3 linked regions of the Neurospora crassa OR74A genome follow. The protein of the gene in region 2 binds, or shares a complex with, the protein of the main gene of each other region. Links are inferred from orthologs where the notes say so. Each region holds a gene or a part of one and is shown on either strand. Other genes may lie near its edges.

Region 1 (3,220 bases), on a different chromosome or scaffold from region 2:
CAGAGGGGGTAGCGAGCCATTTACCGATGGGTTGACAACTGGGGGCGTGGCCGCCTCGTCGACGAACATGGCGGAGGTCAAGCCGGTAAGACAACCGTGGTCAAGATGGGTGGCGCACCAGTCGTCCTCATCGCCCTCCTCCTCCTTGTTGCTCTCCTTGCTGGCATCCGTCGCGGTCGCCTCCTCGGGGAAGTAATGCAGGAGACGGGCCTTGGTGGTAGTCGAGGTCTTCACGACACCCTCTAGATAGCCCGCCGGATAGCCAGCAATCTGCTTCTCGGCGAATCGGTCGCAGGCACGCGCAACAAGGACGGCAACGTCGATAATCAAGCGACAGAGATCTTCAAAGGTAGGCTTGAATCCAGGCAGGGTGCTCTCCTGGGGCCACAGGTTGGGCGACAAGTATTCGGGGAAGTTATCGGGGTTGAACTCCTCCGTCGGCTTTGCGCAAGACAACGAAGGGTCAACATAAAAGGCGCAGTTGGCATAGTAGGAACCCTTCAGGTTGTCGACCTGGCCATTTTTCAAAGTCTCCTTGCCGAGCGACCAGCCAGTCAGATACTTGGCCTTTTCGTTTTCGAGCCGGTCAAGTTCGGACTTGGGAAGGTTTCCAAGGTACGAGGAGTAAGATAGCAATCGGTGGCGCAGCTCAGCGAATTCCGCGGGGACGTCCTTAACGACCAGGATGCCGAGTGAATCGGGACCAAACGCCTCCTCGAGTGCCTCTAAGGAGACAGTTCCTGTCAAGATGCCATGTCAGTAGGGTCATTTAAAATTCGTCAACCCTGATCTGTAGTCAGAGCGGCCGGCTTATAATCGAGGTAATACGCTCGAGTGTGACGGGTAATTTACCGTTCTTCAAATCATTCAAAGATACCGTAACCGCCTGTGCAATGGGCGCCATTTCTATAAGTGGTCGAAAGATAAACTGTTGAACAAATCGTTCAGATACTAAAGCGATCAAGGAAAGCCGTCACCGCCGAAGAGGATCACAGGTCTGACTTGTATTACCTCGTAAAATTTTCCGTTTCTAAACGACTTACGTATCGTCTGGATCTTATAAGATACTCAAGGAACCAACCAAGTCGATGGCCGACGCTAACCAGTTCCCGAGCCGCTCAGAGTCTGCCAAAGCCTTACGGACCTGCTCGACAAGGGAAGTGGGCCCGGCCGAGAGATGGGGCATGAGTGGGGGCCCGGCCGGCTCCAACGGGCATTTCCGGGCCTTCCACTGCCGCACCCCGAAGCGGGGTTTGCCCAGCAAGCATGATGGGGCAAGGACCGTTGAATTTCTTATCGATAAGACTTCGATCTTATCTACCTTTAGGTAGGTACCTAGGTATGTAGAGGTAGGTACCGCTATGGACTTGTCTTGTTTCCATCATCGTCGGTCGGATCGGTCACGTCAACACACGCGCTCGATTGAACCATAACTTTCGAAAGCAGACCGCAAAACAGCCACATACAGTCCGACGGAGCATCAAATATGGTGAAACCTCTCACCTTTAAGGGCGACAAAAAGGCCAAAAAGAGAAAACGCACAACAACCGACCAAAACGACGATGACGTTCCAGAACGGCAAAAGAAGCAATTCAAAGCATCAGCCACCAGTTCCGATATCACCACTACTGCCGCCACCGCTTCCAATGAAGAAATAGAAGGCGAGGAACACGACGACAGCTGGGTATCTGCCGACACGCCCTCCGACGTATCTGGTCCCATCATGTTCGTCCTCCCGACCGAGCCTCCGACTGCGCTCGCCTGCGACGTCACGGGCAAGGTGTTTACTTTGCCCATCGAGAATATTGTGGACGGCAACCCGGCGACGGCGGAACCGCACGATGTGAGGCAGGTGTGGGTGGCGAATAAGATTGTGGGAACAGAGAATCATAGGTTTAAAGGGCATCATGGGAAGTACGTTATGATCAAAGTTTCTTCTGAGAAGCCCCCTTCATTCTTCCCGGTTCCGACCAAAACTCGTCCTATCCGAATAATTACTAATCAGTTCTCCCTGTGATTTTACTAGGTACCTAAGCTGCGACAAAATTGGTCTCTTCACCGCTAACTCCGATGCCATCACCTCCCTCGAATCCTTCACCATAATCCCGACCTTCGACACACCTGGCACCTTCCAAATCCAAACTTTACGGGACACATTCTTAACAGTCCGCGCATCGAATTCATCAAAAGCTAACGCGGCACCTGAGGTGCGCGGCGATGCGACAGAGATCTCGTTCGATTCCACGCTGCGAATCCGGATGCAGGCGCGGTTCAAGCCGCGGATCAAGGCGTCGAAGGAGGAGAAGGCGCGGGAGAAGATTAGCCGGCGCGAGCTAGAGGAGGCCGTGGGGAGGAGATTGGAGGAGGACGAAGTGAAGAAATTGAAGAGGGCGAGGAGGGAGGGTAATTATCATGAGGTCATGTTAGATTTGAAAGTGAAGGGAAAACACGACAAGTATGGTTAAGGGAGCAGGCAGAGGTGAAGAGAGACGGGGCCTGCTGGCCACGCGCGTGCGGGGGGGGTTTTAAACCTACCTCTACGATGGTATGAGACTTTACACGATACCCAAGAAAATGTGACTTAGATCTCAATAGATGGAACTCATTGGTTGGACTTGAAGACTGCACTATGTATCTTCCAGTGATGATTCTATAACACGTTGGAAGCAGCGCAAGAGGGAAGGAGTGACATTGAAGTTGCACTATGTTTCGGCAAGAAGAGGGCTGGAAAGCAACAATAACTTGATACACCAAGTAGTCCTTGATCTAACGCGCCTTACACCATACAACGCCGTAAAACCACTTGACCGTAAACTTCCTTAGGCTCTATCCGATCAGGCCATCATAAAAATTGGAAAAACTATTTGGAGAAAAGATAGGAAAAATAGAAGATCAATAAAATGAAATGAAAAGAAAAACCCATGCCCAAGGGAATGAGAGCCAATAAAAAGTCAATCACGAACGCCGCTATACCATGCTAAGAGTATTATTTTGTTACAATAAGTATTCAGGAACAGAAAGTGAAGAAAGAGATGACGGGGTCGACCTAAGATTCGAGCCGCATCCGTTTAGCATCTTGATTGTTCCCAGTGTCATTCTCGGGCCCAGTACTTTTCGTCTCGGGGCTCTTCCTCTTCAGTGGAGTGGGATCGTCTCTCAAGAACGATGGCCCGGTTCCATTAACAGGTGTAGCAAAGTTCAATGGACTAGGAAGCGTGTT
Region 2 (3,380 bases):
GCCTTGGTAGAGCTGGCTAGTCTGCAGACGGCGTTCGTTATCCTTGATGAGGTCATCAAGGTCGTCAACCGGAGAGTCAATGCGATGTAAGGCGAACCAAACCTGTCTTCCCTGCAAGATAGAATGGGGGACACTAACACGGAGTTTCTAGTGAGCACGTCATTATTCCTCGGACCGAAAACACCATCAAGTGTAAGTAGATGTAAACCCCAAGGTTCCGGCACTAGGGTAGATTACTGACAGCTATTATAGACATCAACTCGGAACTCGACGAGCTTGACAGAGAGGAGTTCTACAGACTCAAGAAGGTTGCTGCCAAGAAGCAACGAGACAATGCGGAAACTGACGCTCAGATGAAAGCAAAGAAGGCAGAGCAGCAGCGGCTAGCCCTTGCAGACTCTGAGAATGCTGAAGGTGAACAAACCGAAAACACCCCTGCCGATATCTTGGCTGCCGAGGAGGACGAAGACGTCATCTTCTAGTTTGATGTCAACTGTTTAACGTATTGCGAATCGCTGATGGCTGGACGGACTGTCGATGACGATCAAGAATGTTTTGTTTGCATGAGAATTGTTGAGGCAAAGGGCATGGGCGCAATTGAGGAGTTTGTCTTGTTTTTAATCTTGTTGTAGCAATGGGTATCTGAAGAAGGCGCTTTGCGAACTGCCCGAGTGGTGCCCTCACGAAACGAAAAACTTCTAGCACACTCTGATAAACTGTGCAGTGCATAACATCTGTATCGCACAATACTACTGCTTCCTTTGTTGACTTTCCCCGGGCACGCATCCTTCAAAACATGCTCTACTGTCTCTGGTAGGTAACCTTCATGATCTTTTCGCCGTTCTTCAGGGCCATGCCGGCCGTGTTCTCCTTGGCGGTAATTGCACCAGCCTCGGCATCGTATTCGACGAAAGCGATACCACTGCGACCAGGCACAGTACGGACTTCGCGGAAGCCATCGAAGCGGGAAAAGATGGTAGTGAGGTCGTCCTTGGTGAAGTCGTCGGGTAGGTTCTGGACGAAGAGAATACGGTTGGGAGGTAGGTACTCGTCGGGTACAACAGCAGCAGGGCCCTGGCCCGTAGCCTTGAGGCCGGCACCGCGTTGGTTCTTGGCAGGGCGCGCATCGGGGGCGGCACCCTGGAGAGGACGCTTGAGGCGGTTTTGTTGTTCGGCGACTTCGAGGGCTCTCTTCTTGTCTGTGGCGGATGATTGTCAGATCGAATGCTCTCGCTGCTAATTGGGGGTCGGGGAGGCGAAGGGACCATACCCTTCTCAGCAATGCGCCTGCGCTTGTGCTGGTCAAACTCCTCCTCGTTGCCAGTCTGAATAACCGTAGCGTCGCTCCTCGTCCGCGCCAGGGTCACCACCATGGGCTTCTCAAACAGCTCGAAGCCCTGGAGTTCATCGATGGCAGCCTGAGCCGACTCGGGTTTGTCAAAGACCACAAAGGCCTGGCCCTTGGCCTTGAGGTTGGTCTTGGCGACGATATCAATCACATTGCCGTATTCGGAGAAGATGGTGCGCAGGGCCTCCTTGAGGGGCTCTGGCTTGACGCGCTCCTCGAGATTGCGTACATAGACTCTACACAAACCGCAAACATGGGTCGGTTAGCTTGATCGTGTTCCGGGATTACCTCTCGACTAGAAAGAAACACCCGACACCAGCCAGTGCTTTGTATGTGTCGGAGTGCAATGACACATACGTAGCGATGGGGGCCTGTCCAGCTGAAGCCATTGTTGGTGGCTATCGACGTTTTAAAAATAGCGATTGGAACGGTACGAAGGATCTATGCGCGTGATGATCGTGAAGATCGTAAAATGCTCGTGCGCAAGAATAGGACTAGTAGGTACTGTAGGTGTCGTGGTCGGTTATCACCGAGCAATCTTGAAGTGTAATGATGTCCAAGTGCAAGTTCTTAGTGGAGTTGCTTTTTTTGGTGGTGAGTTGGGGATCCGCAATTCAACAAGGGACTCTATGCCTAGCGCAAGGACGGGAAGCGCTCAGGAGGCACCACCTGGGCTCAGCTGCGCTACGTGACGCTAGGAGGCTACTACCTCTAGTCTAGGCACTGTACACTACACACGAATGTAACAAGCCTGTCTGGGGCGTGGGGCCCCACCAGTTACCTCATCCCGCTCGGCTATCATTCCATGCAACTTATCGCAAGGCCCGCCTGTTGCTCGCTGTTGATTGCTCCGATGCAGTGTCGGGTAAGTAGTCCATTCTCTCCGCTTTGCCCGCTGTCGCAGGGTGTGTCTCGTCCCGCGGCAACAGCGGTCCTGTCCTCTCCCCTCTTGTCTCTGGTTTCCCACTCAGTCTCCATGTTGTGGCCGTCTCAGCATCCTGAAATCCAGCTTCTATACTTACTATATCAAACAACCTGGGAACCCAACAGCTGTCCATACGCGTAACAACCGTCTCGGTTTGCCGCCCCTTTCTGTCATGCGAAGATGCTGGACGTTTTCCTGAGCGAAACCACCAGATGAGAGACAAGGACTCGCGCAACCAGGAAGAGACAGAAGTGAAGATAGGCGGTTAGCCAGTTGCCGACGCAGCCGGCGATCGCCACCCAGCTCATTACGCAGTAAAAGAGGAGTTTGCGAGCCCGAACCTCAGCGTGATACATTCACCTTCCATTCCATAAGATCCCATTATGGACGATAGTGTTTTCCTGCCGGGTGCTGCAACGGCGGCGGCAGCCTTGGCGTCGACATCAGTACCCATCCCGGTGCTTAACAATGCCAGCGCATGGCACAACTTCACGCTCTGGACCGCCCAGCACCTGGGCTATGCGTTCAACGTGACGAAACTGGCGCCTACGCTCGAGGATTTGGTCTGGGCGGGACCCAGGATGGTGAAGAAGCTGGGGAAGCTGGGCGGCTCCTATATATTCTACCCCGATGCCATTGACGGCTTTGGCCAGCGCGTCATAGCCGAGTCGACCGATCCAGCCGCTTTCTTTGTCACGACTACTCCTGACAGCACCACCGCCGCCGACGCCGCTCGAGCCATACTCGAATCCGCATCATCTTCGGCCGCGGCCACTGCTACGGGCCAAGAGTCAGCCGCCTTCGCATCACGATTTACAATGGAGGGCGCAAGAGGTTTAGGGAGCGTCTTTAGCTACGCAACAAGCAAGTGGGCTCTAGCATGCATCGTCATGGCCGTTGTCTTCAACCGAACACACATATTCGCCGCTACTCGCCGCCGACTTGCACTACGCTGGACTCTTCGGCTTGCGCTGCGGTTACCTGTTATCTTGGTCCTCGCTTGGCAGGTCGAACGAATCCTTGAATCGATACAGTGTCAAACGTCTCCCGACTTCGCCAACCTGCGCTGGGGCAACGCCAGCAAGAGCTCCGACCTCATGTTCTCCG
Region 3 (3,752 bases), on a different chromosome or scaffold from region 2:
TGCTGATTGATGTCTTGTTACTCCCGAAAAGACAATGGCGGAACGCTTTTGAGTGTACTGTCCTAAGTTGCCAAGGTTGTATGCGACGGGTGCCACACCACCGTGCATGCGTTGACGAAATCTCTCACCAGTGCCACCTGGAGTTCTAGACCTCCAGTTGTCTTTGGACTGATGTGACTGACAGACCGATGGAACGGAAGGCCGGACGGATTGCCATTCGGACTTGGGCTGATGAGCATGCAAACCATTGCTCTTTGGATCCTTATGACGCGGTTACCTTAGCCACCGGAAAAGATAATCACATCCGCTTTGGACGTCCAAGTGTCTCGAACATGGATACCTCCCACTATTCTTCTGGTCGTGGATAGTTGACACGGTCCATAGTCAAGTATGACACGTGAGAAGTGATCATCGTGGCTTACCCTTATCGTCGAAGGAAAAGGGAAGAATAATACTGAGTGGAAACTTGAGAGCAGTGAGAGGGGGCTGATGATACCCACCACGAGACAAACCGGACCAGTATGTTGTTGTTGCTTAGGAGGTCTGTCAATGCTGTTTCGCAGCCATCATGTCTAGTAGCGCCGCAACTTCCTGGGGTCTTCGTATCCGCCGTCGTATCCGCGTTTCCTGGATGAGTCGTCGTGATCTCTGGGCCTGTCGTAGTCGCGGCCACCGTGATACCCACCGTCTCTGGATTCCCTTGGGGCTCCGGGTTCTCTAGGCCTGATGGGCTCCATGTTGCTGCCAGTCTGCCGAGCGTTGCGTTCGCCGCCGCGGAAACCTCCGCCGCCAGATCTGTCATCATATGAGCGACCGCCATCACGCCCACCGTACCCACCGCTGCTTCCGCTAGGACCGTCCCTGCGGCTGTCGCGATCGCGGTCCCTGTCACGATGACTGTCACGGTCACGGCCGCCGAAGCCACCACCGGGACCATTGGGAGCATTAGACGGAGGCGAGAAACTGCTGCCACCTGGGCCGCCGAAGCCACGGCCGCCGTCACGTCCGCCACCAAAACCGCCGCCACCGCTACGTCCACCGAAGCGATCACCACCTCCAAAGCCGCCGCCGGGGCCGCCACCACCCCTGAAGCCGCGGTCGCGTCCTCTAAATCCGCCACCAAAACCACCACCGCGGAAGCCACCGGGACCGCCAAATCCACCGGGACCCATGGGCCTAGCGGGCATTGCCTTGGTGTAACCACGACCACCAAGGCCGCCACCGAGACGACGAGGTTTCCATCCCTTAACCGTGCGGCCTCTCTCTACATCGACCTTGATGCGGCGATCCTTAATACGGGCGCCATCACAGCCATCTAGAGCAGCTGGATTGCGCATGCGCCACAGGCGCAGGTGTCAGTAAGGCCTTACCATGAAGAAACAATACTACCTTTAAGGTATACGACGTGGAAGATGAATGGATAGAGGGAAGACGAAAAAGTTTCCGCAGGACAGGCAAGCTTGAGGGCCATTCGAGTCCTGGTTGTGGGCTTACAGAAAAGCACCGACAGCGGGCGTTTCCTTGTCTGTGTGTGCTGGTTGAATGTCAAGAAGAGGGGGGGGGGGGGGGTCAAGGGGGGCTGGTCATTACCTCTCATGTCCTTTTCGCGTTCGAAAACGACAAAAGCATAGCCACGATGGGGCTTTTTCTTCTTGTTTGGGTTCTCATCGGCGTGGGTATCTCTGATGATACGGATCTGTTTTTTGGTGTCAGTTCTTGTCAATTAACACACACATAGCTGTGAAATCATGATATAGGAGGAGGGGGGGTTTGCAAACTCACACGCTCGATAGGACCGTAGCGGCTAAACTCGCGCTCGAGATCCTGTTCATCAGCACGGTAGTCAAGACGCGCTACTATCAACGTCTTGAAAGCATCTCCTCTGATGTTGGGATCGTCATTAGGGTTGTCTACAGATAAACGCCATCGGTTAGCAAGCCGCACGACAGCAAGATCATGATCAAGTAAAGGAGTAGCGAGCACAACTGCGCGTAACGTTGGGGGTTTGCCGCGTACAATTCTTGGGACCCTCGGTCAACAGCTTCTCCAAAGCTTCCTTCTTCTCGCGCTTCTTGCGGTCGCGCGCCTCCAGCCAGCTCTCGGTGGGATGGTACTCGTATTCTTGCTCGTAGGCCTGCATGGCAGGAAGGAAGTCGGCAACGGGGGTGATGAAGGCCGACTTGCGCTCTTCGGGAGCAACATCGCAGGGCGGCACCCAGCGCAGAGGTGGCCGGGGCGCAAAGAGTGCGAGGAGGTTAGGCGGGAGCCGGTCTGTCATTGTCGCTTCACGTTGTCGCTGTTGTAGCTGGTCAAGTGGTGTTTTTTTGTTGATCTTATCTGTCGTCGAATTATGAAATCGATATGTCGGAAACCAGGAAATGTAGGTCGTCTGGCGTTTGATCCACTGTTCGGAAAGCCGGGCGAGAACAGTTCAATAAGGCTGAACGCTGTTACTGTTTGCCAATTCTTGTGATGGCGATAATGTGGTGTTGTCGGTTTGCGAGAAAGGTCAAACCCGCATTTTCGCGACTTTGCTTGGACAGCTGAAGACGAGAGACAGAGGGTGGGAGGCGGGAGCAGCAAAGGGCCCTGTCTGGTGTTGTGTCGTCCACTGCCTGGCAGCCTCGCAGCGACTGGAGCTCTTGCTGGGCAGCTTTCTCGCGCGCTCGACCACCGAACGACTGAGTGCGAAAGAGGGACCGTGCACCCTTAGGTCGTCTTCGTTATCACTACGCACACACCCAAGGAGGAGTGCAATCGCGTGAAATTGATTCTGCCAACCGCTTTTGCAGTTGGGCGGGTCCCCCACCCCCAGTGCCGTGCCGGCGCGCGACGGGGCGGGAGTCTGGCAGAAGTTCAAGTCGCACCCGCCCTCCGGATCATGAACCCTGGTGGACTCGGACTTGTTGCAAGGCGAGGACGGCGGCGAAGAAGAAGAAGAAGAAGAGCATCACAACAATGACGGTAAAAGCATTGACGCAGATCTCCTCTGCCGGCCGTGTAAGTTAGACCGCAGCCTGAGCAACTAAAAACTTTAATTTTCAGAAAAAAAAGAATGCTAATCGTTGATTGTTTTGTATCTAGAATGGCGTCGGCGCATTCGTCTTGCAGTGCAAGAAGTTGGACATCCACTACAGTGACTGGGCCGGCAGCTCCCGGGGCATGAAGTACGTTTAGGATTCTTCGAATATGGACATCGCAACCTCATTCCCGATCGAACATCTTTCACATATACCAATACCTCTACACGTCCAACCAAACCGACATCCTCCCAAGATCTCGAGACCATCCCGCCGTCCCCGACCATCCATCCATCCATCCATCCACCACTACATACCCTTTTTCTCGTCCCTCCTCGTCCCTCCTCGTCCCTCCTCGTCCCTCCTCGTCCCTCCTTATCCCTCCAGTCTCCCTTCGCGACCTCAGCAGACAGACTCTTTCACTAACACTTACTTCTTCCTCCATCTAGCGGCTTCATCAAATCCCTCCTCCCCAAATTCGCCGCCGCCAACCCGCAAATCGAGTTCGTCGTCTCTCCCCGGCCCGCCAAGCACCCGATCCTCATGGGCCACTACATCAACGGGCGCACCAAGGCCATTTGCGTGCGCAACATGGAGCCGCTCGAGATCCTCAAGAAGGCCGAGCTCCTCCGCGACGCGAGCGGCGAGAAGCCCCAGAAGTTCAAGAAGCCCGTCACCAGCACGAACCCCAGTGTCAGAGGTGTCTGGTCGCCTTACCATGGGCAGGGTATG

The links.
Region 1: NCU08034 (region 2) and NCU02559 share a complex: the UniProt entries of both Schizosaccharomyces pombe proteins name them as parts of the spliceosome. The link is inferred for Neurospora crassa OR74A from reciprocal best matches to the Schizosaccharomyces pombe genes usp102 and frg1.
Region 3: NCU08034 (region 2) and NCU07548 share a complex: the UniProt entries of both Schizosaccharomyces pombe proteins name them as parts of the spliceosome. The link is inferred for Neurospora crassa OR74A from reciprocal best matches to the Schizosaccharomyces pombe genes usp102 and usp101.

What each region holds. Positions count from the first base shown.
Region 1 is NC_026501.1:2,733,692-2,736,911, reverse strand, and holds NCU02559 (hypothetical protein), read left to right. Parts: upstream 1-1,366; 5' UTR 1,367-1,486; coding exon 1,487-1,914; intron 1,915-2,026; coding exon 2,027-2,465; 3' UTR 2,466-2,614; downstream 2,615-3,220. Other genes in the region: NCU02560 (hypothetical protein), read right to left, coding at 1-740, 853-904; NCU02558 (MADS-box MEF2 type transcription factor), read right to left, coding at 3,047-3,220. UniProt on the Schizosaccharomyces pombe protein: May have a role in processing of pre-rRNA or in the assembly of rRNA into ribosomal subunits. May be involved in pre-mRNA splicing.
Region 2 is NC_026504.1:3,974,073-3,977,452, reverse strand, and holds NCU08034 (small nuclear ribonucleoprotein U), read right to left. Parts: upstream 1,916-3,380; 5' UTR 1,738-1,915; coding exon 1,706-1,737; intron 1,585-1,705; coding exon 1,271-1,584; intron 1,200-1,270; coding exon 802-1,199; 3' UTR 601-801; downstream 1-600. Other genes in the region: vma-8 (vacuolar ATPase subunit D), read left to right, coding at 1-86, 152-192, 253-482; NCU08033 (hypothetical protein), read left to right, coding at 2,657-3,380. UniProt on the Schizosaccharomyces pombe protein: Involved in nuclear mRNA splicing.
Region 3 is NC_026503.1:4,407,016-4,410,767, reverse strand, and holds the start of NCU07548 (hypothetical protein), read right to left. Parts: upstream 2,628-3,752; 5' UTR 2,279-2,627; coding exon 2,017-2,278; intron 1,911-2,016; coding exon 1,783-1,910; intron 1,697-1,782; coding exon 1,591-1,696; intron 1,325-1,590; coding exon 573-1,324; 3' UTR 1-572. Other genes in the region: NCU07549 (mitochondrial 54S ribosomal protein MRPL51), read left to right, coding at 2,959-3,000, 3,085-3,167, 3,470-3,752. UniProt on the Schizosaccharomyces pombe protein: Involved in nuclear mRNA splicing. Essential for growth.